7 linked regions of the Bombyx mori genome follow. The protein of the gene in region 7 purifies or fractionates together with the protein of the main gene of each other region. This does not show direct contact. Links are inferred from orthologs where the notes say so. Each region holds a gene or a part of one and is shown on either strand. Other genes may lie near its edges.

What was found.
Region 1: the proteins of cell division cycle protein 27 homolog (region 7) and anaphase promoting complex subunit 11 purify together in Homo sapiens (affinity purification with mass spectrometry; 8 studies listed by BioGRID, with this or other methods). This does not show direct contact. The link is inferred for Bombyx mori from reciprocal best matches to the Homo sapiens genes CDC27 and ANAPC11.
Region 2: the proteins of cell division cycle protein 27 homolog (region 7) and anaphase-promoting complex subunit 15B purify together in Homo sapiens (affinity purification with mass spectrometry; 3 studies listed by BioGRID and IntAct, with this or other methods). This does not show direct contact. The link is inferred for Bombyx mori from reciprocal best matches to the Homo sapiens genes CDC27 and ANAPC15.
Region 3: the proteins of cell division cycle protein 27 homolog (region 7) and serine/threonine-protein kinase polo purify together in Homo sapiens (affinity purification with mass spectrometry; 4 studies listed by BioGRID and IntAct, with this or other methods). This does not show direct contact. The link is inferred for Bombyx mori from reciprocal best matches to the Homo sapiens genes CDC27 and PLK1.
Region 4: the proteins of cell division cycle protein 27 homolog (region 7) and mitotic spindle assembly checkpoint protein MAD2A purify together in Homo sapiens (affinity purification with western blotting; 29 studies listed by BioGRID and IntAct, with this or other methods). This does not show direct contact. The link is inferred for Bombyx mori from reciprocal best matches to the Homo sapiens genes CDC27 and MAD2L1.
Region 5: the proteins of cell division cycle protein 27 homolog (region 7) and ubiquitin-conjugating enzyme E2 S purify together in Homo sapiens (affinity purification with western blotting; 4 studies listed by BioGRID, with this or other methods). This does not show direct contact. The link is inferred for Bombyx mori from reciprocal best matches to the Homo sapiens genes CDC27 and UBE2S.
Region 6: the proteins of cell division cycle protein 27 homolog (region 7) and anaphase-promoting complex subunit 2 purify together in Homo sapiens (affinity purification with western blotting; 20 studies listed by BioGRID and IntAct, with this or other methods). This does not show direct contact. The link is inferred for Bombyx mori from reciprocal best matches to the Homo sapiens genes CDC27 and ANAPC2.

Annotation. Positions count from the first base shown.
Region 1 is NC_085118.1:13,747,260-13,751,291, reverse strand, and holds the start of anaphase promoting complex subunit 11, read right to left. Parts: upstream 2,652-4,032; 5' UTR 2,470-2,651; coding exon 2,451-2,469; intron 2,441-2,450; exon of another isoform or gene 2,237-2,440; coding exon 2,001-2,236; 3' UTR 1,994-2,000; exon of another isoform or gene 953-1,993; intron 1-952. UniProt on the Homo sapiens protein: Together with the cullin protein ANAPC2, constitutes the catalytic component of the anaphase promoting complex/cyclosome (APC/C), a cell cycle-regulated E3 ubiquitin ligase that controls progression through mitosis and the G1 phase of the cell cycle.
Region 2 is NC_085121.1:5,937,655-5,941,683, reverse strand, and holds the start of anaphase-promoting complex subunit 15B, read left to right. Parts: upstream 1-1,229; 5' UTR 1,230-1,337; coding exon of another isoform or gene 1,338-1,491; intron 1,492-1,751; coding exon of another isoform or gene 1,752-1,796; exon of another isoform or gene 1,797-1,978; intron 1,979-2,161; exon of another isoform or gene 2,162-2,303; intron 2,304-4,029. Other genes in the region: uncharacterized protein LOC101746435, read right to left, coding at 1-114, 1,338-1,491, 1,752-1,796. UniProt on the Homo sapiens protein: Component of the anaphase promoting complex/cyclosome (APC/C), a cell cycle-regulated E3 ubiquitin ligase that controls progression through mitosis and the G1 phase of the cell cycle.
Region 3 is NC_085121.1:12,620,802-12,624,969, reverse strand, and holds the start of serine/threonine-protein kinase polo, read right to left. Parts: upstream 2,801-4,168; coding exon 2,702-2,800; intron 2,310-2,701; coding exon 2,085-2,309; intron 999-2,084; coding exon 794-998; intron 504-793; coding exon 311-503; intron 109-310; coding exon of another isoform or gene 1-108. UniProt on the Homo sapiens protein: Serine/threonine-protein kinase that performs several important functions throughout M phase of the cell cycle, including the regulation of centrosome maturation and spindle assembly, the removal of cohesins from chromosome arms, the inactivation of anaphase-promoting complex/cyclosome (APC/C) inhibitors, and the regulation of mitotic exit and cytokinesis.
Region 4 is NC_085128.1:1,144,864-1,148,992, forward strand, and holds mitotic spindle assembly checkpoint protein MAD2A, read left to right. Parts: upstream 1-1,329; 5' UTR 1,330-1,511; coding exon 1,512-1,581; intron 1,582-1,927; coding exon 1,928-2,074; intron 2,075-2,517; coding exon 2,518-2,924; 3' UTR 2,925-3,880; downstream 3,881-4,129. UniProt on the Homo sapiens protein: Component of the spindle-assembly checkpoint that prevents the onset of anaphase until all chromosomes are properly aligned at the metaphase plate.
Region 5 is NC_085116.1:176,346-180,471, forward strand, and holds the start of ubiquitin-conjugating enzyme E2 S, read left to right. Parts: upstream 1-1,326; 5' UTR 1,327-1,461; exon of another isoform or gene 1,462-1,584; 5' UTR 1,585-1,651; coding exon 1,652-1,799; intron 1,800-3,282; coding exon 3,283-3,752; 3' UTR 3,753-4,126. UniProt on the Homo sapiens protein: Accepts ubiquitin from the E1 complex and catalyzes its covalent attachment to other proteins. Catalyzes 'Lys-11'-linked polyubiquitination.
Region 6 is NC_085131.1:8,614,822-8,618,896, forward strand, and holds anaphase-promoting complex subunit 2, read right to left. Parts: upstream 2,801-4,075; 5' UTR 2,670-2,800; coding exon 336-2,669; 3' UTR 289-335; downstream 1-288. UniProt on the Homo sapiens protein: Together with the RING-H2 protein ANAPC11, constitutes the catalytic component of the anaphase promoting complex/cyclosome (APC/C), a cell cycle-regulated E3 ubiquitin ligase that controls progression through mitosis and the G1 phase of the cell cycle.
Region 7 is NC_085117.1:10,632,657-10,636,743, reverse strand, and holds the start of cell division cycle protein 27 homolog, read left to right. Parts: upstream 1-1,287; 5' UTR 1,288-1,479; coding exon 1,480-1,503; intron 1,504-1,576; coding exon 1,577-1,652; intron 1,653-1,760; coding exon 1,761-1,908; intron 1,909-2,925; coding exon 2,926-4,087. UniProt on the Homo sapiens protein: Component of the anaphase promoting complex/cyclosome (APC/C), a cell cycle-regulated E3 ubiquitin ligase that controls progression through mitosis and the G1 phase of the cell cycle.

The sequences.
Region 1 (4,032 bases), on a different chromosome or scaffold from region 7:
CCCGCGTGTATTATTTACGCGTCATTGCCAAACAAAAATTACGCGTTTGAAACTAAATGATATTTGATTAAGTAGGTGGTAGGACCTCTTGTGAGTCCGCGCGGGTAGGTACCACTACTTCGCCTATTTCTGCCATGAAACAGTAATGCGTTTCGGCTTGAAGGGTGGGGCAGCCGTTGTAACTATACTGAGACCTTAGAACTTATATCTCAACGTGGGTGGCGTATTTAGTTTGTAGATGTCTATGGGCTCCAATAACCACTTAACATCAGGTGGGCTGTGAGCTCGTCCACCCATCGAAGCAACAAGAAAAATTAAAAAAATTAAAAGGACGATTTCGGGGCAAAAAAAATTGCTTGCCATCAACGTATCCTGTCAGGACTTCAGCTTTGATCACATTTCTTTGAAGTGCTGTTAAGCAATATGTGGGACCTTTTTGGTTTATAAACACACCGATGTCGGCATGCAGCACACTAAGCTCCAGAGGGCCTAGAATGGCATCCACTCTCTTCTCGTGAGTTTTGCGAAAGGCAACTCGAAGAATAGACAGCAAGGTTCACAGTTAATTTTTGCTGAGAGATTAATGAGTTGTCACAACCCATTCTGTGACATGACTTCTAAGTCAGTTTTTACAGTACATCGGCTGCTCCACACATCAAATGTTTACATTTTACTGCTTCACAGCAAAAATATGTAGGATGGTGGTCACTATCAGTGCAGGCAGAAACGATGCCCAGTAAAAAAGTATATTATAAATACTGTATATAAAGATTATATTTTAAGAGTATCCCAGTATTTTGGTTTTTTTGGGAGAGATAATTTGCCCTTTGACCAAATTATTTGGTGCCAAAGGCAAATCATCCAGAATCCTTATAGAATATTTTTCCAGAGATTGTTTTCTATCACTACAGATGTTTTGTTAATAATCATTACCTAATATTTATAATTTCAGAGTGGTTTGAACAAATTCAGGTTGTGGGAGTCGAACTACACTGCATCTAATCCCTGCCCAAATACAAATAATGGAAAAGCAGTGAAAATTTTAGCAGTAGGCAGCGGCTTGGCTCTGCCCCTAGCATTGCTGAGGTCCATGGGCGACGGTAACCACTCACCATCAGGTGGGCCGTATGCCCACAGGGGCAATAAAAAAAAAAAGAACATAAGGTAGGCTAATTTCACCAACACATCTAAATTTATCAGTAGTTCATATCGGGGTGAAAGGCTATTTGATTTGAGCGACATTTTTGCAGCTTTATAGCAGAGCCATTTAAAGTTTAAAATTTGAAAAAAAAAACATAATAAAAAAAAAACTTCTTTAGCTTAATTAAAGTTCAATTAAAAAATTATACTGACATCAAATAAAATGCACCTTTAATTACAAAGATAAATATCGAATATTATCTCTTAAACCAAATAATAACCTTTCACCCCTCGTTATTATGATATTTTTGACAATCCCTTGTACAACAATTCACAGAAAACTTTAATAATATTTAATCTGTACTAGCATAGTAGCAACCTTTTGTCTTTAAAACTTAGTACTCTGCTGAATTATGAAAGGAAGGAAACTGTAGAACTCCGTAATCAAAGCTTCAAAGAAAGAAAAATGTTGTGATATTGTCAACTTCATTTATGTTAGATTTGCATTATTCTGACATTAATAATAAAAGTTGCTATTATGTGCAGATCAATCCCTATATTCTATACTACATACCACCTGATTAATAAGTTAAGGTGAGATTTAAACTTGTTATCACTAAACTAAAAATGACTAATAAGGATTTGTGACTCTATAATCATCGAACCATTTAACTACTTATTGAGTTTGAAAACACCAAACAATAAATTTTTCCAAATTATTCTAGCCTTATAGGTTGGTAAACAAAATATAGTTACAAAATGGGACAGCAGTGACACAATAAAGTGTGAGAATAAAAACCTATATTTATTTATTATTTAAACTATATTTTCTTAATTTATGGTATGTACTTACGAATATTTCACTTGTTATTGAACTTCCAGTCTTGTCTGCACATAGGACACTGCTGTTGAGGCTGAGAGTGTAGCCACTTTACGATACAGTGAATGTGGAAACAGTGAGAGCAAGCACCCCAAACTAGAGGGCAGTCGTCCCCAGGTAGTTTGCAGTCTGGACAGCAGCTATCAAATGGCATACGACAAATCCCACAATTGTCGTCGTTTGCTACCCACCTCCAAGTTGCAACCCCTGTCCAACCTAAAATGAATTATCTCGTTACTGTGAATATTTCAATTTCAATCGGTTCTTCCTTGTATGAGGAATTTTTAAGAATTGTGCTCTATGACAATAAGGCACTTAGCAAAAATTACTACTTAATTTACTTTAATGTCAGTGTGTTTTAAGTTGCAAAGAATAAAGTGTAAATTAACCAGGGAAAATAAACATTATGAAAAAAAGAGATTGTGCTTACTTTTTACAGTTACTTTCATAGCGCGATCATGAGGCTAAAATAGAAGTTTTAGATTTATTTAACCTTAAGATCCTTCATAATTAAATTAACGATTTTTATGATATAATATGTTGACTGAACAAATTTTTTTCAGTATTTATCATTTGCCTTTAAGTTTATGTGCTAATTTTAAAAATATAATGTTTATTTTATTAATCTAACCACTGAAGTAAAATCAAGTAAGATCAAATAAATTTGTTTTTAATGTCAGTCATATGTCAGTCTTATCGGCTACTTTATTTTTTGAACTGGAAAAACGAAGGTATCACACCATACAGCGTATTTTTTGTGTATTCTGTGAATTCTGTGTTTTGAAAAACCATAGAGCGAAATGAGATGAAGTTTATTAATTTGAGACAGTAAATCAATTAGGATGTTAATGAAATGAGATGAGATGTGATGAAATATAGTCTCAGTGGAGTGGTGGTTATGCACCAAGACTTTTTGGAAGCTTTTGAGAAGCTACGTCCAGCGAATTTGTTTCATTTTCCCACATTTGTGCACCTTCAGAGATACTAAACAGTTAATAATGTAATATAGTATAATAATAGTGTAATAATCACCGTTATTACACGTTTAAACATGAGCACTACTTTAACAAAATTAACAGAACTTAGCGCCTTGCGTTCCCGCTAAAAAAATTGTCAGATGTTAATTCGAAAATTTTCAAAGTGTAATTTTTATTATTTTATTTCAAAATCTGATAGGCACGGGGATCGATACATGAAACGAAGTCATAAACGAGTACCATATTTTGAAATGATGTTAAGTGAAATAAAAAAAAATTACCAAACTCAATTAAACTACTAAAAATCATTTGAAATAAAAAGAACTAAAAACTAAACAAGGTCTTTAATAAATCACTTTTAAACAATACTAAAAATAGAAATTACACATGTACTGGAACTTCAGTGAAAGAACTGCAAGCGGAAGCAACTTGAAATACGCAAGTACCGGTAAAATGGGGCGATTAGGGACAAATTCCATCTTTATGACCAATTTTAAGGTAGTTGTTGATGTATATAATGCTATATCAGGATCAAAATGATTGAGTCTTGGGAGCATCTTTGTTGTCCAATTTAAAACTATGCAACTAGCATTCCAGTTTAAGCAAAAAAAGCAAAAATAGGTGTAATCCCTATTTACCCGGAAATTGCGGTTAATTGGGACGAAATGAGAAATTTGCTAGGGTGGGCACTACTTGGTTTTAATTTATTTATTTAGTTGCACCAACAAAGTGATCATCAATAAAAAACATTAAAAAACGGACACTCTGAACAAATAATAAATATTTTATTATGTATTACTTAGACATTTTTGTCCACCTTGAGATTTCATTGTTCTTATTACATGTCTGTGCAAAATTGACTTACTTATATTAAATTGCTTAGCTATTTCAACTAAAGACTTATTCCCAAATAGAAAATTTCCTAATTGCTGTTTTTAATATTAAGGGATAATATCTCTTATAAGGCTTTGCATTCTTTGATACGTACACGCGAGGCATATCTAAAAACAGAAAACAATACGTAACTGATAATAT
Region 2 (4,029 bases), on a different chromosome or scaffold from region 7:
ATCCAACTTTAATTAAATCACTTAATCCATATTCACTTTTCTTTGGTTGTGAATTTAAGAGATTATACAATTCTTCGTCTGTCAATTTTGATAACACGTAGCTTGAATCAGTACCTATGATATACAGTAAAGTTGTAAATATTAGAATTATTATGCTGGTATCGTATGTATTATAGTTCAATTAAACTAATTTCGCTAAAAACAAATTTAGGTTATAGGTACATACTATAAATACTTTTGATGGAATTTAAATTTGTAGAATTCTATTAAAATTGCAATAATAAACAGAAATCTTGAAATCTAAAAATTCAAATGTTTAAATTTCTGTCGGCTATCATTTCTTTGATTGATTTTTGAGTAAAAATTACGGCGGGAGGTGTTGTTGGTGATAAATTAATAAATTAATTTATAAAGCGTCATAAATTGTGATCACTAGAAGTGTTGGTAATAAAAGTTCAAGCAGTCCGTATTTTCTTCTTTCATTTATCATTTGTTACTTACGCACGGCACAGAATAGAAACGAATAGAAGTAAAAGTTACACAGTTACCTACTAAATTAAGTTCATGAGTTAATTTAGGTATATACTTCGAATTGGGCTGGTTTGTACGAAACTACTTACGGCGCCGGTGCATCATGCATAAATGATTCAATTTAAAAATCTTTAAATTACTATATGTTATCCATAGTGTAAGGAGAGAGTCGGGTAGAATGTTAAACTATTCGTAGTATAAAAATAACTATACAAAGGTAGAATCAGATTTTAAGTTTTACCGATAAATTGTAAATATGTTTTCTAGCCTACAAAACCTTTTAATTAATATTAACGGTTCACGTAACTAATTACTTAACGCTCAGTAGAACGGCTTTCTAATTCGTATATGCTACTGATTAGCAGGAAAAAGATAGGAGCTACACTTTAGCGCTGGACTTAGGCTATACCGACATCCATAGTGAGTAAGGCCTCATTTGCAAGGGAGTTTTTTAAAAAAAAAAAGCATTCATAGAGAACAGATGCACTTCCTAGTATATGTTCATACGTCAGCGCTTATAAAACGCGACGCTTTTTTATTGCGCAGTGTTGCATTTTGAGCGCTAAGCGTTGGGCGTTACAGATTACGTCACATCGAGAACCTTATAAAAGCGCTAACGCCGAGTTTTAACGCAACGTTTTTAAAGCGCCCGTGCGAAAATATTCTAATAGGTTACTTATCTTGACATCCTCTGCTCTCTGATAGAAATATTAATGATGAATTCGTGGATTTATTAAGTCCGTACATAAGTACAAAACGAAACGTTTAAAATCATTAAATCAAGTTATAAATTTCCAAAAACAAACCTGAATAAGTGACTGCTGAAGGCATTTTCGGTAAATTTTCTTCGTTTGGAATATAGCTTTTAGTTTTCATGTATTCTTCTAGGTCACTATTCGAATCATATGATGAAAAATATGAAGGTTTTTGCAGCATAGCCATCGGAATTGTATGTTGTATCTGAAAATTAAACTTTATAGTAGGTTTACTGAAAGTCGGTTTAATCAAAAATAAATTTCATCATGCTTTAGAAACTGAATAATCAAAAATAATTTCATTAGCAATTTGGCTATCAGTTATAGAGTTTCTTAGATGAATAGTTATTAAATATCTTCTATTTTGTACATAGTTGCAGCATGTCAAATAAACTGATACCTTGTGTGATACCTTGAATAGGTGCCCTCTAACTAAAACTAAATATTGAATGATGATTTACTTACCAATAAAATCAATAATAGTGGTATTTTGACAATCCATGAAGGCATTGTAGCATAAACAGTTTAATATCAAACTAACCGATGCACGACCACAAGTTTGCTGATAAAAATCGTTCTGTCATTATTGTTTTTTAAAATTAACAATGAACAAACGCTCGTAAAATTTTTAACACTTATTGGAAAATTACTCGGTCAACATTGAATTAACAAGCCTCTTTTCTATTTGTAGTGATGTTCGCAGTTACAAATTGTACCTTCTCTTTTTGGCTGAACTTGACAACGAGTTGATTGAAATTGCTGATCGTAGACCAAAGGAAAAATAAACGTTGGACACAACGGTTTCTACTACCTAAGTGAACTTACCATTTCAGCATTATCAACGTTAACATTTAATTTAAAAAAATACAGTACACACTGTCTAATATGTTATTAAGACCAGGGACGTCTTAAGCTAGGGTGGGGCCCTTGGGCACACAAGAATTGAGGCCTTTCGGAAAGTAAAAAAAGCGAATTATAATAACATTTTTTTACTGAGTTTGAGACCATTTATTATAGGTAATCAAATATGTCATTAATGATATTAGAATGCTGCTGGTTTTTTGGTTACGATTTCGATAACGGTTTCTTTCGGGATTTCTGTTGAGCAAAATCTCCCATTATAGGCATAGTATATGCCTTGTAAATACCTTCTGATTACTGATTTGTGCAAAAACTGTAATGTGCACGACAAAAATGTTTTGAGAATAAACGTGTGAGAGAAATTGTCGGTCTTTCGGGGCCCCCTGAACATGGGGGCCCTGGGCACGGGCCCCGTTTGCCCTAAAGCCGAATTTACATTACGAAATTAGTGGCGTGAAATTAATTTCGTGACATTAGTTTTACTAACAGTTTCACGTGTAATTTAATACTTTCGTAATGCATGCATTAATTTCATGCATGGAAATTAGTTTCGTGCCCTGCGCGATTTTTTGGTGAAATTAATGTCATGCAACTAATTTCATAGTGTAAACGCGACGTGAAACTAATGTCGCGAAAGGGCCTGCGCTGTGCGGACGTGTGTATTGTTAGTTCGGACGCGCTTCAAGCGTTGAAAATGGCAAACCTATGATGAAGTACAGAAAAAAATATAGATCTTATTAATGAATATCAATGACAAGGGTCCCGAAACACCTATAGTAAAAAATCAAAATTATCTTCACTCATTCGAAAATAGTTTTTATAACTCTCAGGATCTTCATCTGCTAATTCAGAGACTAACTTCATTGCACCTAAATGCCTTCTTGTTAACCATCCTCGAATCTACCAACTTTTTTTTTCTTGATAGTCTTTTTTTAGGTTTATAGGTATATAAGCATTTCTTTAGCTACATTGAATATAGCAAATTATAGCTTTGATGCTAACGGCGCCATGGTTACTGCGATACTGTGGATTTCGCGACACTAATTTTTTAACGAAATTACTTTCGCATATATCGAAACTACTTTCGTGAAACTGAGCTCAACATGCATGACACTAATTTCGTAATGTAAACTCGGCATTATGGTAAAGGCGGTATTGATTAAGACCGCTAACAGCGATAAGACGCGCGATTTTATACTACAAGCAAAAGGCAAAATAAAGATAGTATTTTTTAGGCAGCACCAACCTAATTCTTCTTGATTGGTGAAATGTAGTAGGGAAACTGATTTAAGGACAAATAAAATGTTATGATAGATCATCCGTTTTATCAATGAATTGCGTTTTATAGATAGTTTTTGTTCGTTTATTGTATAGTACTTACACATCTTTGAATTTTGATCAGCTTTTTCACCTTTTTTCACAATAAAAACAAAAATGTTAGTTAAAACGTTTTAATGAAATGATGGCTTTGAAAATGGTTTCAATTATTGGTAATTACAATTTTTTTTAAAAACCTGCCTGTTTATTTCGATTGTTTTTTTATTAATTAGTGTAGATGGGCGGACTAATTTACGGGATATTATTAAAATATTAGCTGTGCATTATTATTTAAGCAGTATAACAACAATTCTACCAATTAAATATTATGTGTATTTTCTATTAATCTTACTCTTAAGGCCGGAATACATTTTGGCTGGTATAGATGATGACACGAACTCATGAACCCTGTGTTAGTATTTTTTGAAAATGTGAATTACGAATATTATGAAGTTTTTGATTAAATTTGTATTTTAGGTGCATGCTTATATTTTTTTATGGTTAGCGTGGTATGGATATGTGATGCGTCGAGAGAAGATGCATGTGACTAGGAGATGAATGGAAA
Region 3 (4,168 bases), on a different chromosome or scaffold from region 7:
TATTGTAGTTTGAGGGTGTTATCGTCGATTAACGTTCGCGCGTAGCGACTACGTAAATGGTTCCAAGGGCCCCCGAGACAAACGCGCATCGCTACCTCTACTGCCTCACTGGTTGGAACAATAACATTATCTATTGTTAATATTCTCTTTGATAACTTTCTAAAATATAATATATTAACATAACATGTTATCCATGATCACGTATATATTTTTCGTATTGTAATCAATGCTGAAATCAATATTCTATATATACTTTTTAATACTATAATAATGATGATATCCATACAGATTTATATTAAAAAAAAATCACCTGTATTCGCACTGTTTAATCCTTTTGTATGTATCCTTGAGGGTGGACGTCTCAAACGGCGGTTTGCCAACAAGCAGCGTGTACATGATGCAGCCCAGACTCCAGATATCCACTTCAAATGAGTGGCCCTTCTTTGTTAATATCTCAGGGGCAATGTAGTTTGGGGTACCACACAGAGTCTGTTTTCTCTCTCCTATGAAAGTTCATTTTGTTGTTTCAAGTTCAAAAACGAGAAATCCTTAGCATCAGAATTACAACTATGGGCGCACACTTCATGTTTATATTTCTGAGAATGATTACTTTCAGAAAGGTTGAAAAGGAAATTGAATCTCAAGGTTATTCTTAGGTATAAAAAAATGGTTTCAGTTCTTTAAGCAGAGTGTTTGCATGATAAAATTGTAAAAAGTTGTAGTCATGCCTTCATTAAAAACTTTTATCACTACAATGTGATAGAAGATCACTATCGAGTAGGCCTATAATTACCTTCATATTCAATCCTTGCTGCAAGACCAAAATCTCCAATTTTTACATGAAGATCGTCATCAAGGAACAAATTGCCAAGTTTCAAGTCTCGGTGTATTATCCTCTTACTATGGAGATATTGCACGCCAAGCAGTATCTGGTGCATGTAGAACCTAGTCTCTGGTTCTGTAATTGCTTTTCTACGCTTGTGAAGCTCCATCATCGACTGTAAGAGTGGTTTTATTAGGCTATTGGATATCAAACATTTTGTTGATTTATAGGTAGTGAAAATATGTTTTGCATTCATTTAAACGGAGACATGATGAAAGCAACATAATAAGCTACTCAGGAGTACTCATGGGCAGTAACAAATAAATAGGCCTCATCAATTTTATTTCAGAATAGTATTGCAAAATATATTCAAAATATCAACTAAAATATCCTAAACTAAATTAATATATATTGTTAGTGATGCTAAAACTCATCTAAATTTTATAAATTCTTAATGGCATTATTAAAATGTGGGTAATATGAAAATCTGACATCAGAAAGCTGCTTTACTTACTATTTTTACAAAAATATTTCAAAAGAATTCATGTAAAATTAATTATCTTTTTTAGTAAACTTGATTTGCCTTGCTTTTGTCTCCATTCTACAATGCAAGGTAGAAGTAGTTTTAACAGTAAAGGGAATATAACTATAAGAACTAAAATAAAAAATCGCAGAATTTATCAATTTATTGGACAGTTTAATATATAATTCGTAGTGTTCAACCAAAATTTTACTGTTATGTTCAGCTTCATAGATAGTTTAAAGTAAAATGTTTAATGCATTCACAGTCATAAATTTCCCAAAATTTTTAAGTCAACTACTTATGTTTATTGATTGTTTCCCATGTCAATTGCACATCATAACATGCAATTCACATAATCAAGCTGTCTTATTTTTAATGGTACTTGAGTGTATTTCATAAATATTAAAATGAAATATATATTTTTCATGATGTGGAAAATTAAAGAATATTTAATTTTCCAAGACTCAAGAGTTTAAGAGATTTTTTTTTTATAATTTTACTTAAGAGTTCTTTTCTCCATTTTTGTACTGGTGTATCAACAAGTTATTGTTAATCACATAAATGTTATTCCGAGGCTTTGGTGACTGTATGAGAATCAAATGGAACATGGGCTCGGAAACTATCAACCATCTAATTCATTTCCATACCTTAGAATCGTATGAATTTTTAACTTAAATTGTTATTCAGTTTTTTGGACAAGATCAATTGACAAAAAATTAAAATATGCATGATACTTGCCCGTTTTTTACAAAGCTCCAATATTATATAAATATTCAAAGAGTCCTCGAAGAAACTGTGGAAGCCAACTACATGCTTGTGCTGGAGAGACCTGTGAATGGAGATCTCTTGAGCCATCTTCTCTTTGTGCGATGACTTCACTATTAGTTTCTTTGAAACAATTTTTCCAGCATATATCTGGTTGGAGGCTATGTCTTGGATCTCGTAGCATTTTGCAAAGCCACCCTAAAAACGATCATTGTGTTAACAGAAATATAAGCTTTAATTTAAAATTTTCGTCATTGCTTGTGTTTCGCATATCAGTTATGCACACATATTCTATACGTGTCGTTAATTTCTGTTGAATTAATGATATGCAAATTCGACTGACAAACTTCAGTTATATTGATCTGCATTTTTATATGTCTGTAGTCAGGCTATTTCGAAACAGGTGCATGCTGGGCGGCGTTGAACTTTTTTATGTATTCAATGAGACGGTTACTAAAATATACATTTTTGTACTTCGTGTACAGAATATTATTAGTGCTTTAAATGTATAAAAGAACAGAGTATGTATACATTATATCCCTATTTAAAATTAAAGTGTTTCGAATAACGTAGATACAGTAAGTACTTACCTTGCCAAAAAACCGTAATCTTTGGTAGGTGCTGTTAGTTTGTGGATCGTGAATGATTTCGGGGATTTCTTTCTTTTCATCTTCCTTGATCGACGTCATTTTTAGCTAGCTTAAAAATATAAACTACAGTCAAATAATATTAAATAACAGTAAAGTTCACTAAAAGTAATTGTTGACAAATTAACAAAGGGGATCTCAAACGGCCATACGTTTGAACTTCAATTAACTTCAAAGTTTGAAGGCCGTTTTGAACGGTTTTTAATTTTCAACCAATAGGGCGCCGCGATGCTTATACCAGTGTTGCTAGGTTTGTAAAAATGTTATACCATATTGTAAAAATGTTTTTTGGCTGTACAGGCTGCACAGAAATCAGTGCAATAAATCGAAATGGCAAAAATCTTAGACTATACCTACAAGGAGTTTATGATTTGAAACTGCAATGTTGTATAGGTAAGAGTAAGATAATTCATTTTAATTAAAACTGCATTAGTGAGCGAGTAACAATAAAGAAAGACAGTTTCTGTAATGATTTTTGCGGCACTTCCTGATCACGAAATTATTGTTGAAGCCTGCTAAAAAGTTCTTTCTATCGATTCAGCTTGCCGTCAATATTGAGAATATGTGAATATTAATTGAAAGCTATTTATAATTTTAATGTTTAATATCCTTTTTTACTGTTTTTCATACACTTTTTTTCTCAAAAGCCAAGTTTTGTGTTTTTTTTTGTTGTACACAAGTACAAGTGCAGATGTTTTTGTTCCTGTTGACAAAGTGTGCGTGTGTTAAAAATTTTAATGGTGTATAACCATAGACCATAGAGTTACTATTCTAACTGGAGTGCTTACTTCGTTTGACATAAAAACTAAAAATATACTTTATCTCTATGACTTAAAGTTTATTTTTAAATAGCAAAAGATGTAAGGAAAAACGGTCTGAAAAGAGAATGATTATTAAGTGGTGGTGTCCCTCTCGCACATTTTACAAACAAAAAGCAGTGTTGCTAGCTTAGAGGATTTTCCATAAAATCTCGGAATTCGGACCCCCGTCTTAGTTATCAAAAATGGCTTTTAGTGGTTAGTGGATTTTTTAGTAGCTTGGGCGTTGTAGAAAATTATCGAAAAGGTTAAAATCAATCAACTTTACAGGATTTTAAACATTTTATGACAATAATATGTCTAAATACATATTATTTAAACGATGTGACTTAAACTTAACTAGAAAATGTTGCGACAATTTAGAATTTCCATCAACGTCAAAAATTAAATTTGTTCAAAATAAACGTACAAAGTTATGGTGAAATTAGTTTCTGATTATGACAATTTATTAAAATAAATTATATAAGAAGTATTGATTTTTAATAGAACATCATATATTAATAAAGCTTATTAACAAAAAAATTATTGTTCTATATTAATAAGAACTCTGTTTAATGGAAAATTTAATGGTAGGTACGTAGATTTCTGATGG
Region 4 (4,129 bases), on a different chromosome or scaffold from region 7:
TTTTAATTTTCCCACATTTGTGCACTTTCACAGATATTAAACAGTTAATAAACCACCGTTATTACCAGTGGTCGGAGTAGGTAGATTGATTTCATATACTTGGATCAAGATATTTTAATATGGACATGCCATTTTATCCATAATGATTATTTTTTTAAAATGAAAAAAATTATTTTTAATCCTCATCGGATACAATTTCTATACTTATAAAGTAACAAAAAAGCACTGTCTAAGTTTTGTCTCATACTGACAAGCGTCATTTACAATTTAACAGAAAGGGACAAAATAACTATAACTATAACTATACACATATATATAATATATAACTGTAACTATTCCAAGGCGTTTTTGTATAAAACAAAATACTGATTTCTTTTACCATTAGCTAGCACTGATAGCGTAGATTACAGGTGGCTGTGAACTCGTCTACCCATCTAAGCAATAAAGAAAAAAAAAATTATTATTACGTTTTTCACTTTAAACACAAATTCATGCTAATTTCAAAATTCCGGAACAAATATCACAATAAATATGAAGTTCCAGTATTTTGGAGGCATATATATATATATATATATCCATATTATCCTCTACGTTTGACGTCAACGACCTTAACTCAATCTACTTACCCACTCTGACCTCTAGTTATTACACATTTAAACCTGAAGAAACACTAATTAAACAAAATAAAACAAATCACACAACTTCACTCCTCGAGTTCCCGCCAAAAAGTTCTTAATAGGTACCTACATATTGTTTTTGTTTCATAATAGCATCATACATGGTGGTAAGGCCTCTTGTGAGTCCGCGAGGATAGGTATCACCACCCTGTCTATTTCTGCCGTGAAGCAGTAATATGTTTCGGTTTAAAGGGTGGGGCAGCCGTTGTAACTAAACTTGAGACCTTAGAACTCATATCTCAAGGTGGGTGGCGCATTTACGTTGTAGATATCTATGGGCTCCAGTAACCACTTAACACCAGGTGGGCTGTGAGCTTGTCCACCCATCTAAGCAATAAAAAAAAATCAAATGATTCAGGTTGCCGAAGTTAAGATTTTACCCTTTTAGTTTGGAGGATAGAGATTAGGAGCACATCATCATCTTTGTGTGTTGATGTAGCTGTATGTAGAGAGAGCTTATTTCTATTTGATCTCATGTATTTAAGTTTATTACCACTTTACTTAAAAATTAATTTATTTTCCTCAGTTCCATTTCACTTTGCGTAGTATATCAGACGGAGTTTTGTATTTTTAATATGTAAGCAAAGGGTATATGGAGGCGTTTGAGCATTGACACTTGATTTAAAGGAATTTTTGACATTGAAGTTTGAATGAAATGTTTTGAATTATTTGAAAATAACAATTATCAACGGACGCGCTGAATTCACCCAGTACCTACATAACGGCTCGTTTGTATCAAATCGTCCCTACATACTCAAGTGTGTATATAAATTCATTGATTTTGATTATTGATAGAACGATTACAGCAATATAATCGACAAACAGCTGACAACTATGTCACTACAACAAACAAAAAATTGTATTACTTTGCGCGGCTCCGCTCAAATTATATGCGAATATTTGAGTAAGTAACATTGTTTCTCTGTTGTTCTGGTATCAAAAGCTTGTTTTCCCATTTTTACCACACAGCCGTATAAGCATATATGCGCTGAAAGCTCTGATACTAATAATAACCTGAGGTTGTAACCAGTATGTTGAAGTGGCCATGATGGACATGCTTATTTATTTTTATTTATTGAATTAATATATTTTGTACACACAGCTGTTAGAAGAAACACGACCATAAAGATACAGAGTACAAGGGCTTACTAATGTGGACTACAAAACCATTATAAATTTATATGACTAAAGTCCACATTTGTTTAATCCCTGTGAGTAGTATAAACTGATTTATTTACTCATGTTTTCAGAATTTTCAATAAATTCAGTACTGTTTCAACGAGGCTTATATCCACCTGAAACCTTTAAGGCAGAAAACCAGTATGGCATCACACTGCTACTCTCAGAGGATCCTCAGATCAAGAGCTTCTTAACAAATCTTCTTACACAGAGTGAAGGTATCAGTTAGTCTACATCCAAATCTAATATGATTAATAGCAGTTCTTAGTAATAATTAGTAACTTTTTTGATGGACTTAAAATAAAGATCAACAATTTGGGGAGTTCTTTTATCATTCATTGTTTTTAGTGGCATTGTATTTATGCACGAATGAGATGAATCAACTGCTCATGTGCTGTGTTTTGAGGGCCACTACTGCTACCTACTTAGCTCCACACCTTAGTCTGGAGTTTTAGGAGTTTTGACATCCTTTAAATAAAGTTTTACCACAGCAATTTCTTTAGTTTTCACAAGTCATAGAGATAACTGAAACTAGTACAAAATTTAATGTACATCAATAACCTTAATTGTCAGTACTCACAATATCACAAAACAAAAATAATATATGTGTGATATAATCCATTAAAGTAGTTTTAATGATGTTATTTTGATGATATTACAGAATGGATTCTTGACAAGAAAGTGAAAAAACTATCTCTGATCATACTAAATGTGGCTAACAAAGAAGTTCTGGAATGTTGGGACTTTAACATTCAATACGAAGATGGAGATACTGCTTTATCTAAGGAGAAAAATGAAATGGTCGGGAGCAAAGATTTGAAGAAGATACAACAGGAAATCAGAGATGTTATGTTACAAGTAGCAGCAACAATATCGTACTTACCGCTATTAGATTGTAGATGTTCATTTGATGTTTTGGTTCATGCTAAAACAGACTGCGATATTCCAGAAAAATGGGCTGAGGCACAACCAGTAGCTATAGCCAATGCTCAGAATGTACAGCTAAAGTCATTCTCGACTAGTTTACACAAAATGGAAACAGTAGTCAGTTACAAACTCGCAGATTGATTGCAGCTTTACTTTATAAGTTTTCTATTCTTTTTAAGTATCTCAAGTAATGTAGTTTGTAATTATCTAAGGTAAGGTAACATATTGTTGAAGAGAGCATGCATCAATTGCGTGATGACCATCAGGTGACCATAAGGTGGACTATGACCGTCTACCCATTTTAAATAATAAATAACCTTTACTGCTTTCTCCCCTCTCTGCAATAATGTACTAGTGAATCTTTAATGACTCATAATTATAGTAATGGTGAATTTTAAAATGAAATTATGCCATAACAATTACTACAGTTGTCGTGATGTGTTAAGTTTTAGTTTTTTTTCTCAAATAAGAAGGAAATCGTCAATCAAATTGTTAGGCCATTATTGGTTGTAGACTGTTCTCGATCTAAATACGTATAATTTTATTTAGTGACTAAGTTACAGTAGGTATTGATTATGCTTTAAACAGTCTAAAGTTTGTTTTAATCTCACAGCTAAGTTTTGAGTGCTTGGTTTTACAAACAATGTTATCTGACTCCCATACAGGCCAATAAAGATTATTGTTAGATACTTGAGAAAAACAGTGATGTTCTCACACGAGGCTGGCATTCGCACATATTCTATGCGTTAAGACCTGAATATGGAGTTGATTTTCTAACAAACGGTTATCAATATCTTAGCCCCACAAGTAATTTTGTTGGTATCTACAAATGGAAATCATTTAGTATTTAAATGGTAATGACTACATCTCTAGTTCGCTTGTTCATGTATCTACTATAATACTGTATACTTGGGCACTTAATGGGCACCTAAAATTGAAAATAATTTTATATTATGTGTTTTTAACTAATAGCAATCAACCGAAATCTATATTGTGTTCAGTATTGTAAATATAAAATGTAAGTTTTAACTGTGAATGTAGCACCTTCGTTTCAATGTTTGGTATCATTTTGGCATGTATAAATGAATTTAAAAGTGTTTGGTTTTTGTCTTGTTTAAATGAGCGATGATACAAGGGTGATATAAATTTTCTACTATGACTACAGCATAATTTATTCTACTTTCGTTACGTTTCTGGATCGATTCGAGGCCAAGGTCGTCGTGTATGTCAACGTTCCTCACGAACCACAGCTCCGACGGCCAGCCTGCAAAAGCTGGATTGTAGGGATTGGAGGGTGTCCAAGTGTGTGCGGGCCGCGTGAGCAAACACCACACGCGTAGGTCATG
Region 5 (4,126 bases), on a different chromosome or scaffold from region 7:
GTGTCTAGGGACACAAAATTAAGGAGACCTGTTAATACCCCCGTGCACAAAACAAAACTCTGATGTGGACGTTCCTAGATAAGGAATGTACTTTTGAGTTTGTTGGATTCGCCTCTGAACAAATAAAATACCCACACGACCAAATGGTTTGTTAGAAAAGTCATATTAAAATTTATTTTGCTAAAAGTTAAATGTAACATACTCTGGCAATAATTAGACTACCGTACTTTATGACTTAATCACGAACACTAACGATTACTTCTAACGTCTAAGAGAAGACTAAGTCATCCATGAGAACTACAACTGTAAATTACCTGTACGTAGCGCCGGAAATAATAAAACTACAATAAAAAAAAAATTGTGAAAAGACGTTGAGTTTCAAATGTGTCTACCACACGTGAAGTCGAAGAAAATCTATACTAATATTATAAAGAGGAAAGATTTGTTTGTTTGTTTGTTTCGAATAGGCTCCGAAACTACTGGACCGATTTGAAAAATTCTTTTTCCATTAGAAGCCGACATTGTCCCTGATGAACATAGGCTACTTTTTTATTTTATTTTTTATTTATTTTTTTGGTTTCATGTGTGTTTTAATGTTTCCGAAGCGAAGCGAGGGCGGGTCGCTAGTATTAGATAATAGAAAATAAACATGATTAAGGAATATAATTATAAAGGAAGTGAGCGAATGAAAAATATTAATTGAAGTGAGATATAACACCCTTAAGTGTCCATTGAGATGAATTGAAATCACCTTTCAGAATTTACTGAGCTCAATGGAGTTTTTGGAAGTTGCCGCGAATCTACGTTTAGCGATTTTGTTTCATTTCACGCATTTCTACATGTACTTCAACTGATATTAAATCATAAGTAAGCCACCATTAGGAAAGTTAAGGACCATTACATCTGAATGAACGATAAATTAACAAAATAAATCAATTCACATATTTTGCCCTCTCTCTAAAAAGTCGATGAAACAATTAATTGTTGCCAGTTTCGATTTATAAAATGTTCATGTAGATAATTAGTACAAATCAGCGATTTTTAATTTATTTCCCAATTTTGCGAACTTGCAAATTAGATAAATAAATAAATAAAAATATTCCCCAAAGATATAGTAACAAAAAGTAAGATCGGTCAAGATTATTGAACATAGGTAGCTTAGTATTTATAGCACCTTTCACTTATGTCATAATATCTCTATAGTATGTGGTAGTAAGGAACAGTAAGATAAATTAGCATCACATCTGTGATTTAATATATGGAATTTTATACGTAAATATTTAGTTTTAATTAAGAACACAGTGTGACGACCCATTAAAAATTTTAGCGCATTGTGGAATGAATGTTATAGGAATAGTTAAAGCTACCTTTGCCTAATTGGGCAGGCTAATAAAAAAAATGCAGTTTTATGTTTTGAATTTTGAAAATTTTGATAGATCAACTCGAAATCAAATTTGATAAGTAGTGAACATTTTTCTGAATAATAAAAATTGCATGCTCTGTTGTAGAAAGAGATTAATATTTCGAAATTCCTTCTCAAAACAAATAGAAAAATTCTAAAAACTTAGTGACATTTCGTTTTAGTGTAAAAGGTGATAATAACGCAAGCAAATGCTATGAGCGCCTGACATAAAGAAGGAGAAGCAGAAGCATGTCGAACGTGGAAAACGTATGTCCTCAAGCGTTGCGTGGCGTGGCACGCGAACTCCGACAGCTGGCGGCTAATCCTCCGCCGGGCATCAAACTGCAGCTGCGAGACGACGACATATCTGACATAGTCGCGCTTATCGATGGTCCCGGTAAGAATCTATTCAAATATGATACTGCCCTCACCTCCAGAACCGGTGTGACATTTCGTTAAACAAAAGGCATATCTACTTTCTCATGTCATGTAATAAATCAGAGGTGGAAAGGTAAATGGTCCAATGGCAATGTCTGGATTTGTTACATTGAAGTACATCTCAATATTCAACGTCACAGTTACAATTTATACCGATTTTTTGCTATCTGCTTGATATTTATTTTGTTTTGAATGTCATTACTTATATCTTGCAATGTCTCAATTTTGTATGGAAAATTTGGACATGATTTTTTTTCAATCTGCATCTCCCGTCTTTTAGATATTCAATAATTATGGAGTCCTTTGAAGTCATGGTCTTTCTAAAGATATATTAACAGCTGCAGATATTACATTGTCAGAACTTTGTTTAACTTATAATTTAGACCTCTGAAGAGATGAGGAATAGGAGAATCTGACACTATCTAAAAGTCATAATTTTAAGAAATGTATGATGTGTTCTTTTTGCATATGGGACTTTCTTTAAAACTAAACAATAAATAAATACCTTCATAATGAACACCACACAATATAAGCCACAGATAGGTGAACCAATTCTCAATATATACCACTGCCAGTTATGTTCAAAGTTTTCAAAAAGCTGTTGTCATGTTACATCTTACCTTTATTGGAGAAAAACAAAATCATCCCAAAGAAGTTTAGTTTTAGGACGACATATTTAGTAGTTGTGCAGTTATAGAATGATAGAGAAAATGAGAAAGTCAGGTGTTTTTAGGCCTCTCAAGCACCAGTCCTCCTCGGTTGATTACGACTAACCCATACACAGCCCACTGAGTATCTTGCTGGATCTTCTCAGTAGGTCGCAATTCTGATCTGGTGGTAAATGTTTCAAAGCACTGTTCTTGCTAGGTCTAGTGCTAGCAAATTCTCTCAGGTTGAGCCTGTGAGCTCGCCTATCTGTTCACGAGAAGCTGGAATATCTCCACAGGATACTAGCCAATAAGTAGGGAAAAATTATACATATACACATTTTTTTATGTGTATGATTTTTATGCTTTTTTTTTTCTAATTGAATTAATGTGTCAAAATATTTTTGAGCATTTTTGTATATAGTTGTTATATCTAAAGCTGTAAGCTGTAAGCTGTGTTAAGTAAAATGAGATTTTAGTATGGCCAGAGGTTTAATATTTTTTTTATTGCTTTGATGCATGGACGAGCTCACAGCCCACCTGGTGTTAAGTAGTTACTGGAGCCCATAGACATTTACAATGTAAATGCGCCACCCACCTTGAGATATAAGTTGTAAGGTCTCAGTATAGTTACAATGGCTGCCCCACCCTTCAAGTCAAAACGCATTACTGCTTCACGGCAGAAACAGGCGCGGTGGTGGTATCTACCCGTGCGAACTCACATAAGGTCCTACCACCAGTAAAAACCAGATTCAAGGGTATCAACTAAATTAATGCAAAAGTTGATGATTTCAGCGGAGACGCCGTATGAAGGGGGCGTGTTCCGCGTGCGACTCGTGCTCGGACGCGAGTTCCCCGCCAGCGCACCGCGGGCATACTTCGTCACCCGCGTCTTCCACCCCAACGTCGCCGCCGAGACTGGCGAGGTCTGCGTCAACACGCTCGCACGCGACTGGCGCCCCGAGCTCGGGCTCCGGCACGCGCTCCTCGCTCTGCGCTGTCTGCTCATCGCGCCCAACCCTGACTCGGCACTCAACGCGGAGGCCGCCGCCCTACTGCGCGACCGCTACGACGACTACTTCGCGCGCGCCAAGCTGCTCACCGACATCCACGCGACTCGCAGCCGCGCCCCCGCCCCCGCGCCCGCCGCCGCGCCCGCGCACGCGCCCGCCGCCGCGCCCGCGCACGCGCCCGCGCCGCCCGCCAAGCGCCGCCCCGCGCCTCCCCCCCGCGCAGACAAGCGCCGCATCCTGAAGCGGTTATGAGCCGTCCCGAGATCAAACGATCAGACCACGCAAATGGACTCGTCCAACACGAGCGAACTTTAAGATATTTGCAAAATTGAACTTTAAGTAGTAGGTGAACTTTTTAATAATTTAATGTGTATCTGCAAAAACTGAAATCCTTGCGTTGAGTGTGCGCTGGACAGTCTGCTGCCCTTCCCCCATCTCCTTCCCGAAGCTCTTCCCTCGCGAACGTCGAGTCACTAAATAAAATCTTACCCCAAGTTAATTGAGTTAGAATCCTCCGTGCGGCTGGAGCTGAGCTGCGAGTGGCGCGGCTGGACAGAGCGCTCTGCTGCACGTGACGCTCGGAATATAAATTCACAATATCGCTATTAAAATACGTTTCCATAGAT
Region 6 (4,075 bases), on a different chromosome or scaffold from region 7:
CTCCAGTATGTTTTTCTTGTCAAATTAGTTTTATTTATTTATTCTTACTTCTTAATTTAAACAGTATTTTAATAGATATTAAGACTGACACATGATAATGTATTAAATTCACTAAGTATTTAAATGTTATTCGTATTATTTTATAGTCAAGTGGTGGTATTACTTATTTTAATTTATAATGTATTTTGTTGATGGAACAGCTTAAAGAAATTGTTTTAAGCATCTGAACTTTTAACTTAAATAGACATGTAATGTAACCAAATTAATATATAAAAGGTGAAAATAAAGTTTTGTTAACTTTCAAGTTCTTTTTTATTTCTGATAAATATTAACATCTATGTCTTAGGCAATTTGTACATGCCTCCTTGAAGTACCAGTTGATGTGTTCTTACTTTTGTGTCTAAAAATTGTCTCAGCTCCATAAGACTGCATTCAGTGCCTGGAGCTTGGGAAGCAAACATCTTCAACATTTGATGTATTCTGTCCAAAGGCAAACAGTCCAAGTTTGTTAACATGCCTACAATATAAGACCAAAAAACTTGCAGTTCACCTTCCCGCTGATCATGTGCTGATGCCATGGCACTCTCCGTTTCTTCATCTTCACAAATCATTTCCTGTACTTGATGTGAAGGTACACTGGCTTTATTATCAGCTTCAACTAAAACAAAGTGATCTGTACTTTTTTCTGCTATTAAACCCATCGATTGCCAGTATGTTATTTTCCTTCTCAGAATAGTAATAGGAACTTTCATCACCTGATGGAGTTCATCTAACGTCCATTCAGATTTATTTTGGAAATGCATTATCAATGTCGCATTAAAAGGTGAAACTGTCAGATCTAACTTCTTTTCGCCTATTTCTATCTCTAAGTTTACATTTCCAAGGTGTGGTTTCCAGCTTAATGTTCGATTACCTTTTAAAGCTTCATAAGATTTAGTGTATGCTTCAAAATGTTCCTTGATTTCTTCTGGTAATTCCAGACTTTCATCTTTAAATGGTGGCCAAAACTGTGCAGATAAAATCATTGCATTAGAAGTAAATTTCTTATTCAGCTCCTCAATGGTTTTGTCCTGATGTATTAAGGAATTAATTCTCTTTGAATCTGATATATCTTTAAGCATGACTTCACAGAAGTGTAATTGTGATTCACCAAATCTTATTTTTAATAGCTCCAGGTACCTAATTTCTTTTTCTGTATTGATAACACTTTGAGCCAGTAATCTATCAGCTAGTAAAGTTCTATATTCATTAACAAACAATTCCTTGCTACCATAAACATTAACAAGCATAGATATAATATCATTAGTTCTTCTGTCATTTGAATCAACTTTGGGATCAGCATCAACTGGATCAGGATTCCATTCATCCCAAGCCTCATCTTTATCGGCATCGCCATCTCCTTCTGCTGCAAATTTAGCTAGCTCTTCAGCTAACTCACTACCAGCACCTTCTTCTGTCAAACTGCTCACAACACTCCTCACTGTATCTTCTCTACTTCTTAAATAATTACGAACAGGTTTTGTCACTGTTTCCAGTATAACACCAGAAGGATCTAGGTGTCTCAAAGCTCTAATAGTAGATATGTAAGCAGTGAGTATGTCAGGAGTGTTCACGCCTGGGTGAAGAAGCCTTGTTTCTAATGCATTCTGTAACTTTTTACATAGAGTTGGTCTCAAATCTGTTTTTGCTAAACAAATTTTGATGTCATCAACAGCAGGCTGGGAATCAGGATATTCTATAATGATGTTGAAGAGCTGATCAATTCTTGTTTTTGTGTAGCTATGATAGAGATAGTAAGTGAGTTTCTGTTTGAATCTTGAGATTGCATTTTGTATATTTTTATCATCAGGTGGAGGTTTGGAGGAGCCAGCACAATAAATTCTGATCAACCAAGACATTACTGTCGTATTAAGCCAACTTTCTAATGCTTCAATGTGGGACACATCAAAAGTGCCAGTACATACTTTCTGTATATGAGACTGAATTCTCAACTGGATGAAATTAGTTAGAACTTGACCTGTGAGTCTTTCTAACAATTGTAACTCCACCAACTTCCTATTTGTTTCATGAAATACTTTCACAATGTATGCACAGTTACAATCGGAATACTCGTTTCCACAACCAGAACACATTATGTCCTCGCCCATGTCGGAGTTTTCATATTCATTATCGAAAACATTAAAAGATATTTTGTAGAATTGGTTTATAATACACTGAAAGTCGATGGGTAACTGAGACAGAAGAGTAGCTCGGACGAGCTGCTTAAAACCTAATACAAGATTTTTCTCGCCATAAATTAACTTATTATCATTACAACTACTGTTCAATTTAGTCAATCTTTGTAACATGGGTGAGAAACTAGAAACTGCTTCATAGAGATCATTCACTGAAGATTTAAATAGTTGAAATCCTTTAACTTCTTCCGCGGTCTTAATATATTTTGACCAAAAACTAGATGCGACATGTTGTCGTAGATATTTCTCAATATGAACAAATACAAGATCACGTATCTTTATTTGGACACCCAAATTAACTATTAACACTTGCACTTCATCGTATTCAGCCTCAGTACAGTCGCTGAAAATTTTATCATCGAGAATTGGATAGGCATAGTTTATTTTATTCCAGTACAGTTTCAAATCTTCCTTTTTATGATTTATATTCATCATTATTGCAGGTCAGTTATCTTATACATAAGATCTAAGATCTAAGAACGATATCCTCATAAATAAATTAATTAATGTTTACACTTTACTCTTTGCGTTCAATCCTAATATATTAATCTGTGGATATTAAGTGTCTAATCTATGATCTGTGGTCCTGTGCCATAGAGTTAGTATTTTAGCTGAATTTGGCCTCCTTTTTTTAATTTTCAAATATATTTTTTTAATTTTAATTATTTATTCGTCGTTTGTTCGTTAATGTTCGAATGTAAAAATTGTTTGTTCGTCCATTATTTATTTATAATTAAACAAATGATCACTCTTAAGTTAGCCCCTCTTACAAAATATCTTTATTTTTATCGATCAGATTAATTAATTGTGATCAATTATCGTTTGTTCGACAACTACTGGTGATTGCTCGATCATAAAAACAATTAAATTCCCAATTATTAATTTAATATTCTTAGAATAATTAGAAATCACTGAAATTTCTATATGGTTGTTAATATTCAATATAATTAAAAATAACTGAATTTATTAAAACCGGGCGAATCGTACTTTAACGACTAATTGGTCGTCTTCACTGACATTTTTTTGTTGAAGTATTGTTGAAGTTTTCAATATTTTTTTGATCTACCTAGGAAATAATTAGACAGTTTAAGCGCACTTGTTAACAAAACGCTAGTAAATACGGCCATTGATAGGTGACTGACAAAACCGGCGCATGCACAATATAGGCCTGATTGCTTAATAGATATAAAATAATTAATAATTGGGAATTTATTTGTTTTTATGATGCAACAATCACCAATAGTCGCCGAACAAACGATAATTGATCAAAATTAATTAGTCTGAGTGATAGAAATAAAGACATCTAGTAAGAGGGGCCGACTTAAGGGTGATCATTTGTTTAATTAATTATAAATAAATAAAAGACGAAATAACAATTAAAAATAAAAAATCCAATAATTACAAAGGGGGGGGGGCCAAATTCATTGAGCTCCAATATTTCTGACATTTAATTTAGTTCCACGCGGCTAAATAACTCGCCGGATTTTTTTTGTGCAAAATTCCTATTTCACTTTTCTCACAACAAAATATATGGTTTTGGCCTTTGTTATAAATTAAATGGTGTGATTTTATAGGTGAATGAAGTTAGCCCCTCAAAAAAATTTTTTTTTCCTGTTTTCTACTTATTTTCTATTAATTCGTTTGTTCATCATTTGTTCTTGATTGTTCATTGTTAATAATTGTTTGTTCCCCATTTATTTATTTTAAAAAAAATATTAAAAATATATCTAAAAGTTAGCCCCTCGATTGCAATTTTTAAAATTTTTTCGTCCTTAATTACTCGTAAATATTCATTTTCGATTGTTCTTATATAAAATACGTTTGTTCTCTTTCGAAATTAC
Region 7 (4,087 bases):
CACACGTCTTGACATTTTCTTGTTCGGTAGACGAATCTAGTGAAGGGCTGCTTTAATGACGTATCATGTTTATTTGCCTTAGACATACAACATAGGATACACAATGTATTGATAAACAGCAGTTTATTTACCTGAGAATTTGATTATAAATTGTTATCACACTGTTTTCCTTTTGTTATTAAATGTCACAGGTAATAAACACTGCACACATATTGCACACAAATTCCGTCGATTTTCTACACATCAACGTCGTACACTATTCGTTTTGATAAGACTATGGTCGAATGACAATTAAAACACAAATTATAATTTCAATTGAATGACTTTCCCATCGCGTTTACAAATTAATGTACCTATTTATTTTACTCTATGAAATAAGCGAATTATTTTTGATTTTAATAAAATCCACTAATCCACTTCCACAGAAACATTGACGTTCAGCACAGAGAGATTATTTTACTTTTTTTTAGGGGATTTTATGTCCTGGTAACTAAGACCTTTAGGTCAAGTCTTATTTTAATTTTTATGAAAAATGATAATATAGATATATATATAATATAGATATATCACTCTATATTATCATTTTTATATTTCTAAGATGAAATGATATAGGTTTAAATATATAATCTGGTGGTTATTTACTGAGACTTTTTAGTGGGTTTTTTGGAGGATCCCGAGCAGCTACCTCAAGCGGCCTTGTTTCATTTTCCCACATTTCACAGATATTAAACAGTTAATAAGCCACCGTTATTACACATTTAAGTCTGAAGAAACACTAAATAGACAAAATAAAACAAATTACACAATTTCACTCGGACGCTTTGCTACCACAGTTTAAATCCTTGAAGCAAGCTACTTCTGGAAATGATTGAAATTTCGTTCCAACTGCGATTGTGTATACTGGCATATTGCTACAAATTTTTTTGTGCATTTAGAATCATAGCTAAATAACAACTGGCCAAACTTAAATAAAATGAATTCCTACTCCAGTTAAATAGCGGGAGGCATGTCTGTCCAGAGTTGTCAACTATAGAGTACGTAAACAGGACATTTTTAATTTATAACTGCACTAACTGAACTTGCAGTAACTGAATGGGCTTAACCAAAAAACAACTAATTTTGATGAATAATGAACTTTAATAACTTCTTTTTTCGCTTCATCCTTATTATTTTTTAACAAAAATATAAATACAGGCATTTTCCTTTAATAAGTTACGACTCGTCCATTAATAGAACCACGTTTAAGATTTTGTAAAAACGGTTTTTTAAAATAATTTGGGAAATATTAAGATTGAGGCTGGCCACAGGATCATATGAGATGCTTAGGGCTGGCAGCTTTATCAATATCATAGACAATCAACAAACTAAAAATGTCCGTCGAAATAGATTTCCAATATATTTTGTGATTTGAATTTGTGGCTTGCAATGTAATTAATAGAAATAAAAACAATCTGGAAAGTATTTATTTACAGTAAAAAGATGATTGTGCAAGAACCTATCCAGGTATGGTGAAAACCAGTAAATTGAAGTTTCATATCTCCCAGTGGGACGTTATAAATTATTTGTTTTCTCGCAGGTTATCGTTTGGGATTGCCTCAACAATTATGAATTCGAAAACGCTATATTTTTGGCAGAAAGATTGTATGCGGAAGGTATATAAATTGTATTAAATATAATGTACCATTGCAAAATATTGATTTTTATTCTGGGTGTGCTTTTTGTTTTCGCTGCTTATTTAATAATTTGATGATTATTTGCAGTTGGCTCAGAAGAAGCTGCGTTTTTGTTGGGAACATGTTATTATAGGTCAGGGCGAATTAATGAAGCACATCATTTACTTCAAAATAAAACCCTTGCATTACCACAAGCAAGGTTTTTATTAGCCAAATGTTCAGCTGACTTGAAATCGTAAGTACTTTTCATTTAAAAAAAATAAATGTTAAAAATTCCCTGTGAAGCTTCTCTTCAAACAATTTAAATTCTATTAAACATATGGGTGAACTTATGATGGCATTTTGATAGTTCATGTACTTTTTGTTTATAAATGATTAATATGCAGATTGTAATGAGACCACCCAAGGCTATAACAGGTAAAATTGGGAACAAAAAGAAAACTAATTTCCTAAAGCATTTACAAATTAGTAATGATAATTTAAAATTTTTAGAACGAAATATGTAAGCTGGTGGCAGATGCTCCATGTGTTACTTTCTGTAGTGTCCACCATTTGTAGACACAGTTAAAACAATTATTAAATTTAATAAAAGACACGAGCTTGACTTGTAGAAGAAGTTTTAGGCACACAAACTTTTTTTTTTTATTTCTGTAATTGAAATAAAAAATGTACTTGGATCAGATACACATGTTTAATTTTTATCAATCAAGATCTGCAGATGCCAATATTAATTAGCTATGAAAATCAATAGAAAACAAAATATGAGTACCTGCATTCTATAGTTGAAATCTCAATCGCTTATTGCTATAGTTGTTATTTATAGAAAAGTTAACTGCTTAGCAGCAAAAATAGGTAGGATGGTAGCACACCTGTGAGGGCCTGCAACATGTATTAAATATTTGAATACAGTGAAAGCTCCTTATTCAATTCAAACTGACATTTAGCTCTTGGATCATAAATATGTCTCTTCAAAATAAGACTGATCTCAATAGGTGGGTCAATTTTCATAAAAAAATAACAAAGTCCATTTGCAATACCTAAAATTTGCTTCTGGTTTTATATGTTTTGGACAAATTTTTCTTTTACTGAACGCGAAGAGATGTCTTATATGATTAAAATATTTAAATAGGACACCAGCCCCTACAAAGGCATCTTTTGTCATGGCAGTTTAGTCATAGTTGCATTACATATGTTTTACTTTTATGTTAATGTATGTAAACCCATACAAATATACAGTTATTTATCATTACAGCTACAAAGATGCAGAAATTGCACTGGGCTCCAACCTTGATATAATAGCTTCTGAATTTGGAGAGCAGGCGCCATACGCTTTACAGCTTCTTGCCAAAGTATACATCAGCACAGGAAGAAGGAATGAAGCCGCTGAAGCCCATCGGAAAGCACTATCTCTTAACCCATTTATGTGGAAATCATTTGCACAGCTCTGTAATATGGGTGAGAAAGTTGACCCCCAACAAGTTTTCCAAATAAACAACTCTGAGTTCACATTTGGTGTTACAACATTAGTCAATCTAGTCAGCAATTCAGAAAATATATCATTTGTTAACTGTAATATTCATAATAACAGCAGCATGAATACAAATGTAACACCTAATAATGTTGCCACACGTACACCCATGGCTATGTCGACAAGTATAACTCCTGAGACACAAGCCCCAATGAAGCGAATGCATAGTGTTTTTAGTGGTATGGCACCTATTCCATTTTCACCATCATTTGGAATGCTTACAATGGAAGAATCTCCTGTATTATATACTCCAACATTGACAGATTCAAATGAACAGAAAGCAATTCCTAAAATAGTTAATTCTCTACGTGCACAAATGGGACAACTTAAGGATGCAGTATTTAGCCCAGCTCCAAGATGTACACTTGGCCCTGCCCCACGTAGATCATCAAGACTATTCAGTAATAATAATAGTAGTTATTCAGTAAAGGAAAATAATAAATCACCTAGTAGGAAATTTGCAGCACCAAAGAGTCCCTCAAGAAAAAATAAACAGAGAACTGCTAAAAATATTAAATCTAATACAATAGATTCAAATAAAAGTATAGAAACTGTCACTCCAACCATACCTCCAAAGAATTCAAATGGAGTAGCATTGTTGAGTCTTATGAAAGAAATAGGAGAAGCTTATAAATATCTTGCATTTTTAGACTGTAAAAATGCAATAAAATCCTTTCAAGAGTTACCTCCAAAACAATTGGCTTCACCTTGGGTACAAACCATGATCGCACGTAGCCATTATGAATTGGCTCAATATGAGGCAGCTGCTAAAATATTTTCAGAAATAAGAAAACAGTATCCAAGTCGTACTGAAGGGATGGAAATTTACAGTACCTGTCTATGGCATCTTCAGCGTGAAGCACAGTTATCAGCCTTAGCACAAGAA